Regions from separate parts of the Mus musculus genome. Here region 1 is reported to be linked to region 2. The links are microRNA targets in miRTarBase. Many come from high-throughput screens and were not tested one by one. Region 2 holds a microRNA gene; the other region holds the end of a gene's coding sequence.
What was found. The annotated mature microRNA mmu-miR-190a-5p reads UGAUAUGUUUGAUAUAUUAGGU and lies in region 2 at 1,830-1,851, shown strand. An mRNA with a match to its seed (bases 2 to 7 or 8) in the 3' UTR can be bound and repressed. Matches are read on the target gene's strand: a 7mer-m8 pairs with bases 2 to 8, a 7mer-A1 pairs with bases 2 to 7 and ends in A, and an 8mer does both.

Region 1 (4,000 bases), not on the chromosome of region 2:
TCCTCCAGTCTGTATTTCTTCACTGGCTTGCTTCCTTCCTTGACTGGAGAAGTACACACCTTCTAAAATTACATTCACAATAGGAACTGACTTGGCTTTCAAAATCAGCTTATAGGAGAGCCACCCATCCCTCCTGCATACTTTAGACTAATCATCTTGATTATGAGCTTTTTAGGTTGGTCTGTTAAAGCTTTTAGTGCTCACTGGTAAAAGAATTATCTGAGTTGTTTAACAAAGGTTTGTTTTTTTTCCACAAATACTTCTTTTACTGGGATAAACAAGATTCAAAGTTTAATAATGGCTCTTGAGCATCAGTTTTGATTTTGCTATCACAAACAATATAAATTTTGTTATAGTAAATATTAAGTATTTTAAGTCTTTCATAATTCTGTATTAAAATTCTATTCATCAGGTCTTGTTTACTTTTTCTGAAACGAAAATATCAGAAAAGTACAGACATGTATAAAGTAACCCTGGGTGCCATCAATCCAAGTCTGGGCCTGATTTGTTGAGAAGAGTTCAGATCTTTCCTCCTGTATAAAGATCATTACTATTGAACAGCCCAGCAAGTATAGAATGTGAGATATAAGGTGGAGAGTGAGTGTTCTTTGCAAGTGACTCCAAGTTAATTTAAACCTATTAAATCAGCAGGTTTCTACTTCTTCCAGGCAGCTGGGGCTTATCTCATCTGATAGTCTTCGAAGCTTGACTCCCTTTTAATTGGGTACTCACTCTAGCAGGAACAGGCCTAGTGAATCTGGTCAGTTTCAGGAACTTCCTGAAGCTATTTTGAGTTTTCCTTCCTACTTAAGAGCTTCCTACTATAGGATGCAATATTTTGATCTCTGAGGAAAATGTTTATTCCACAAAATATGTATTTGTGAAGAAGAAAAAAAAAAACCCCCGCACATAATTAAGTGTTGCTTTCATCTCTAGTTGCTTCCAGCAAATAATCTTTGGTCTAGCCACCATATCCTATATACATGTATTATATGCTGATTCAAGGGATGAATGGGCCACAAAGGGAGAATTGGGAACGTGGTACATATCCGTGGGTACCAAAGCATAGTAAGATTAATCTTAAACTGGCTTGGTTAAAGTGATCAGAATGAGTGTATGGTTCTAAATGTTCTCAAAGTCTATTATTAAGTTGGTCACGGGTTAAAGTTTGGTTTGTAAAAGCAAGCTACGAGTAGTAGTATTTTACAGACAAGCCATTTCCCATGTCATGACTTTTCACTAACCCAGGATTTGAGTTAGCTATTTCCTTACTACTTAGCTTACACCCCATGTGTAATCATTCACCCAAGACATCCACTGTCTAGGTTTGGCTGCTAGAAGCAGTTGTAATGGCTACAAACCAGAGTTCAGTTCTCATCAGGCAGTTCACTAGCTCCAGGTACTAACTCCAATGTCCTTCTCTGGCCTCTCTCTCTCACACAGAGATTGCTTGCTTATACACTCTAGAAACTCTATAAAGAATTTACAAGTAAAATATACCAAAGTTTGGCAACTGCTAGAACTGGATGTCAAATGTTCCCATGTGGACAGACAGCATGTTCCCAGGAAACTTTAGAAGGTGGGAATGGGTGTGGGCAGACCATTGAAGATTATATAATCCTAGTAAATTGTGAGAGTCCAGAATCTTGCTCTGCTATGGATCCTCACTGGTATGATACTTTGACACTCCAAAGAAATAAGGACACTTAATTGTGTACTGGAACCTTCAGACTTACGAGCCAAAATAAACTTACGTCTTCTTGTGATCTATTGTGGAGATCAAAAGTTAATGTAGTGATTCATGGATAGGAAGATCTTATCAAATAGGCTAGAGTCATTTGGGAATAGAAGGTCTCAACTGAGGAAATGTTCCAATTACACTGGCTAGTAGGCAAGCTGATGACCAGTTTCTTACATCACCTTGATGGAGAGCCCAGCCAATTGAGGTAGTTTTCATCCCTCCTACTCCCTGAGCCTGTGGTTCTGGAATGCTCTATAAAAATAAGCAGGCCAAGTCATAGGCATCAAGCCAACAAGCAGCACTCCTCCGAGGCCCTGCATTGGTTCCTGCCCTAACTTCCCTGGATGGTGGACTTCAAACTGTAAGAAGAAATAAACCTTTCTTTCCCAATGACTTATGGTCACTTTTATCACAGCAATAGAAATCCTGAGACAAATTGTTGGCCAGAGAAAAATGCTGGCCACAACCTTTGGAAAAAAAGGCCTGTGGAAGGAAGAAAGCCACCTACATTTGTAATGCTACCACCACACGTTTTCTTTGAATGCATTTATTTAAGAGAACACAGCCATTCAGAATTGTGAAGCAGTATTAACACAGAGTAAGGCTGGAACATGAAGATGAACTGCTATAGTACATTTGCACAATAAATACTTTTAAAGACACATGTAGTTCTTTAAAAGCTAGATACTAACATAAATAACTAAGCATTTTTATCTTAATTAAGTGGCATACTAATTTTCTAGTCGATTTACTATATCAATTGCATGGCAGTAAATACAAACATTTTAAGCATGATTAAATATGTAGTGAATGTAAGTTGTCTATTCCTCAAGTTAATTATCCTCCTGGCCTCATGTTTGGATAAAAAGAAGAAAAGCATGCTGGACAGCAGCGATACATTTTACACAAATTTATCTACTATTAATAATGTATAAAGTGAATTGTACATTTTGAACACAAAGTTTTTATGTCATAGTGTTGGCTATTTTTGGTATCCAACTTTGTCACTAACTAGCTTTAGAGCTAGTTGACTTTTAAAATGAGAACTGGACTAGACTTTATCTTAGTGCCTAACCCGAGCCTAATGTTTTATGTCCTGTAAGGTTTCCCATTTTGTTTGGGAAGCTTTTAGTTTCAAATTTTTCTAACACAATATCTTTTGCAAAACCTTGTCTAAATGCAGAATTGTTAACATCGCCATGAAATTCATAATTGTGTGTTCACAAAGAGCAAATCATTTTTTTTTGGTGGGCGGGGGTGACGGCCATATTTTCTTACAGAGAAAACCGTGATCTAAGTACCTGCTTTAAACCCGTATTGCCAGTGACTTCCTGTGACGGCTCCTGTCTATTGCTTAGCTTCCCTCCACCTCCTGTACTGTTTTCCACTAACTATGGAACATCCTGGGCCTACCTAGTAAGAGAAGATTCTGACAAAATTAAAGTGACTTAGAGTTTTCAAATAACTAGCCTGTGACTTATTTACATAATTTTAAAACAGCTATTTGCTTTATACTTGTAGTCCTCTGTAAGGCAACAACAACACATCAAGTATTTCAAAGGCAGCCATACACTTAATTAATGTTTCTAAAATAAGTGCTAACACAATTTTGAAACCCAAATGTCAAGAATATTTGTTTTCAGTTTTAATACCATATGTACACAAAGCAGATGATATGCCTATCAATGTCCATTTTTCCCAATTTCTCACCATATTCAAAATTCTCCCTTTCCAATTCATATCATCAATAGACTTAGCAAGAACATGGATAAAATTGGCAGAGTAAATCTATTTCATGCAAGAGAAAAACAGTGTTACACTTACACAACAGCACATACAACTTTACAAAAATTGGGAATACTGTTACTGTCAAATAGACAATGGCCAAAGTGGGACTCATGCCAGACATCCCATTCAGTCAAAATCCCGATTTGTAAGAACAAGTGGTGCCACTAGTGTCCACACGTACAGCACAAGGCCAATCCAACTGGAAGAGATTTTCACCCAGACTGCTGTCCACTGACTTTTCATCTCACGAGAAGGCTCATACCTACAATATGAGGAAAAGTCAAAGTGATTGTAGGTTAATGGCTTGTGTTACTAAGCTATCAAGCTACTAGGCCCCTTCATTTAAGCTTCCTTTGTATGGAGTTTGTGATAATGTGCAGTAGCTCCTGGAATCATGATGGTCCTGCCATACCCTCCATACTGCTGCAGCAGATCTTTCACATAGTTCGAAGCAAGGTATGCAATCTGTAC
Region 2 (4,152 bases):
GTTGCTCATTTGCGTCAACATTCTTGATTTGGAAAACAGACTTACTGGGATCTCCTTCATCCTGCAGGATTGTTCTTATAGCATAAGTCGATAACGTAAGAACATGGTGCCTGACTAGTAAATGGTAATGCTATCACCTCTGTCACCATCACTATGACCAGACATATGCTTTCTGACACCTTCATTTTTCATCTTTGTGTGGAAGATAAGGTCTTTCATGGATCCCTAGTTGGGTAAGAGGGCGGGCGACAGGGCTACCGTAAATACAAGACACGGTCCAGACCAGTCTCCTAAGTATTTTATCTGGTCCTCACCACTGTCAGACCGTGTGATTGAGTGGGGAGGGAACATAGAGCTGGGGTCCCAGTTTCTGAACACTGTACTCCCTCTGATACCCCATTGGCAGAGAAAATGATTCCCGTCCCTCAGGACCACTGCACTTTATAGTGTCTTAGGCTGTTAGACTTGTCTCCAGTTCCTTTCCTAAGGAAAAAAACCCAGACTTGTGTGAGAGGGATGTTCTAGAAGCTTGGTTGGTAGCAGTAAGAAGTTGGGGTCTTCTTGAAGGGAAATGATGAGGCTGTTACAGTAATGAAGAGTAATGGTTGCCAGACTGTACAGCGTGAAGATGCTTATGGAATGAGTAAAATGGGGAGAAATGATAACACCTAGGCATCCATGGTTAGTGCTTATGTCACAAAGCTGGGAACTAACGGAGATGATCAGCAAAGAACAGCTAAGACTTGAAATGGGACCAGGGAACGGCAGGCTCTGTGTTTTACAGTTCTGGAAAACAATGTTTGAAAACCACACACATTGAAAATGAGGGGGGCTGGAGAGAGGGCTCAGCGGTTAAGAGCACTGACTGCTCTCCCAGAGGTCCCGAGTTCAATTCCCAACAACCACATGGTGGCTCACAACCATCTGTGATGGGATCCGATGCCCTCTTCTGGTGTGTCTGAAGAGAGTGCCAGTGTACTCACTTAAAATAAATAAGTAAATCTTAAGAAAAGAAAATGAGGGATGGTTGCCGGAGGCGGCCTGTGTGGACCCCTTATGTGTACACTGCTAGGCATTATCCATGAAAGTGTCTCAAAGCAGCTTATCATCCCAAAGCATGTAGCCCCGGGCTTGCAAGGAGGGCCGTCCACCGTGGGAAACTTCTTGCACAATGCATAACATCCTCCTGACAGTTACAAAAGAACTTTTCCTCGGCTTAAAAGAAAAAAAATTACCGAAACAGCAAAACCAGCTAATATTTGAGGTTACTTTTCTCCATCCTGTCCTGTAACCTTAAAGACAAAAATCCTCAGGGTGCCATAAATGGCAGCTGCTCCTGCATACTTGCCATAGTGACTGTGGCCACCCACCCCCATACCACGTGAATGAGGTTATCCTCCACCCAGGCAGAGCACCTGTGCTGCTTGGAGGACTAGTTTGGGGAGGGAGGGAGGGAGGGTGATGACTTCCAGCTGTTTTGATTACCTGGTTCTCAGGTTACCTGTTTTAAAAGGAGACTAGTCTGTGGCATGTGAAGATGGTTCTGGTGTAGTTCCACCCTTGGGCCCTGACCATGGAAGCACCTCCCTTTACCTGTAATCTCTCAGACGTGAGTGACAGACAGGTGCACAGACTCCCTTTTCATTTGGGGAAAGGAGCCCAGGCTCAGAGTGTGTGCCACCAGCATTGTTGCTAATGGCATCCTTGCCACACCTACAGACACGCCTGTGTTCCAAGGCAGGCTGGGAGATACTGCAGAGGTGACTGACTCCCACAGCCATATTCTCAAGCTCAGTCAAACCTGGATGCCTTTTCTGCAGGCCTCTGTGTGATATGTTTGATATATTAGGTTGTTATTTAATCCAACTATATATCAAGCATATTCCTACAGTGTCTTGCCCTGTCTCCGGGGGTCCTAACAAAGTTTAGAAGCAACAGGAAAAAATATATTAAAAAATCACAAGTAGGTTTAGATGACAGAGTGCGTATGTTGTTATGTTTCATTCCATTTCTTCGTGTAGCCTTTAAGACCTGTGTCTTAGTTACCTTTCTGTTGCTGTGACAGGATGCCCCAACCAAAAGCAACTTAAGGCAAAAGGGTGTATTATGGCTTAGTTTATCAGGGGCCAGACCATCAAAGAGGGAAGGCCGGCAGTCAGGAAGTAGAGAGATAGGACAGCAGATGGAGCCAGGCCATAAAACCTCAAAGGCCAGTATGTCCTTCAGCAAGGCTTTGTGAATTCCTAAAGCTTCCATAGCCAAATGGCACTGCCAGCTGAAGACCAAATGTTCAGACACACTAACTTATTATGGATGGGGGATGCTTTGTTTCAGACCACAACAAACTGTATCAATACTACTACATTATCTGTTTGTTGTGGAAAGGGAGTATAGCTCCTGAAGGCTTAAGATATTTTCTAAAGTTTAGTTGAATGCAATTAGGAGTCCTTAAGAAAAGTATTCAGTGGAAAAAGATGGAAGATAACAACCCGTGTCTTTGATATAGGACAAAGGTTAGGATTGTAACTGGCAAACACATTGATCTAGATATTTCTTCCTGACAACTCTCAACACACTCTCACAGATTAAATTTTGTAATTGTTTTCCATGCCAAAAAAAAAATCGGGACATTTATTATCTCTAACTTTCCGCTTCTGGTAACAAATCTAAACCCTGGTGACTGTGCTCACTTTACGGATGGTGAGCCCGTAAACCTTAATTGCAGACCTTAATTTGGATCAGATATGTCTGATGAAGAGAACATGCTCGGGACTGTGCTCTGTCGGTTGAGTTTTCTGTTGTAGGTGAACTTCTGCACAGAGGTTGTTAATATTTAGAAGAACCCGGCAGTCCGAAAGTAAACAAATACTCTAATTGGCTGCCGCAGGAAGTTGGGCTATGACCCAGAAAGCATTCTTTCGGGTATATATCAGCCTCTCTGGCTGCTTTGACTTCTTCCCATAAATGAGTCCGTGAACTGTATGTGAGTTTACTCTGAGCTGTCTAGCACAGAGACTATATAAGTACTTTTCCTGGAAATAGCATGGCTATGCTCCCAGGCCTTGTTGGTTTTACCTTAGGAGGAAACAACTCTTGATGGCACTCCTAACTGTGGATGAGCAAGACCTCTTACCCTACAGGGGCAGGAGAGTAGTTTGACGGGGGTCGTCAGAAAAGGAACTTGGGAATATGTAGAAGCCACCATTGGTGAACGAGTAGTTTTTTTAAGCATCGCTCTAAAAGGTCTTTCGGATGAAGACACTTGCCAGAAGTGGTGAGATTTGGGATGGGGGGTAACTCTGCTGCTGTCTGGCATTCCCATGTGGCTGATTCATATTCTGAGTGGGAGTGGGAACGGGCACACAGGTGTTCTGTGACATGGGAAAGCAAACATGTTTTCTGCATGGCTAAGCTACAGGCTTGGAGCTCACATGCCAGACCTTGGTCCCAGACAAGCAGAGAGTGTATTGCCAGGTGGTTCTCTACCAGGACCTTGTTAGGTCCTTAGATGCATAGAAGGCTCATACCAGAGATTCCTAAGATGAACCAAACTGTATCTCATTGAATAATGGAAAGGCTTCTATTGTCCATACTTCCTATATCAAGGTCCAAGTGACCCCTTCTTCCCCTTTTTGAGAGTATGACAGAATTCTAAAGAATTTATTTTCATCAGAGACTAATTATAAGATCAACTCAGTGGTATTACTTTTTATATTGAATATAAGTTACAAAAAATGTAATAAAGCAATTGTATTATATGGGGAAAAACTATTCCCAAGATACTAACTGTGCAGGCTTGGGGCTTTTCCAATGGATGCTACATGAACCTATTCCTTTATTATCTATCTGGATGTGAAGGTGGTGCGTATCCAGCTACTAACATGACTTGCTCAGCAGTGGTTTCTCTGTGTCACCCTGAGCTTCCCCTGAGACCAGGCCTCTGTGAAGGGTACCAGCTGTTCTGGGAGATTTGCCTTTTGTTAGCTTTATTAAGGATGAAGGAGGTCTTAGAGCCAGCCAACCCACTGGTCCTTCAGAGCACAAGTTGATGTAGCCATGGTATGCTTTGGCCAAGACTTTCTCCCCAAAGCATCTCTCAAGTCAAAACCAGAAGCTAGGCAGGAGCAGCCAGGTTCTGCACAAGAAAGGAAA

Region 1: miRTarBase lists Serinc1 as a target of mmu-miR-190a-5p. Seed matches in the 3' UTR shown: 7mer-A1 at 3,413-3,419.

Annotation. Positions count from the first base shown.
Region 1 is chr10:57,513,502-57,517,501 of GRCm38, forward strand. It overlaps Serinc1 (serine incorporator 1), which reads right to left. Exons shown (of 9, transcript NM_019760.3): 9 at 2,273-3,791. The coding sequence ends at 3,656. Among named protein-coding and RNA genes, the nearest start is that of Serinc1, 17 kb to the right of the region's middle.
Region 2 is chr9:67,234,399-67,238,550 of GRCm38, reverse strand. Mir190a (microRNA 190a) reads left to right here and starts at 1,825; the gene lies at 1,825-1,891. All of the region lies in intron 53 of Tln2 (talin 2), which reads left to right.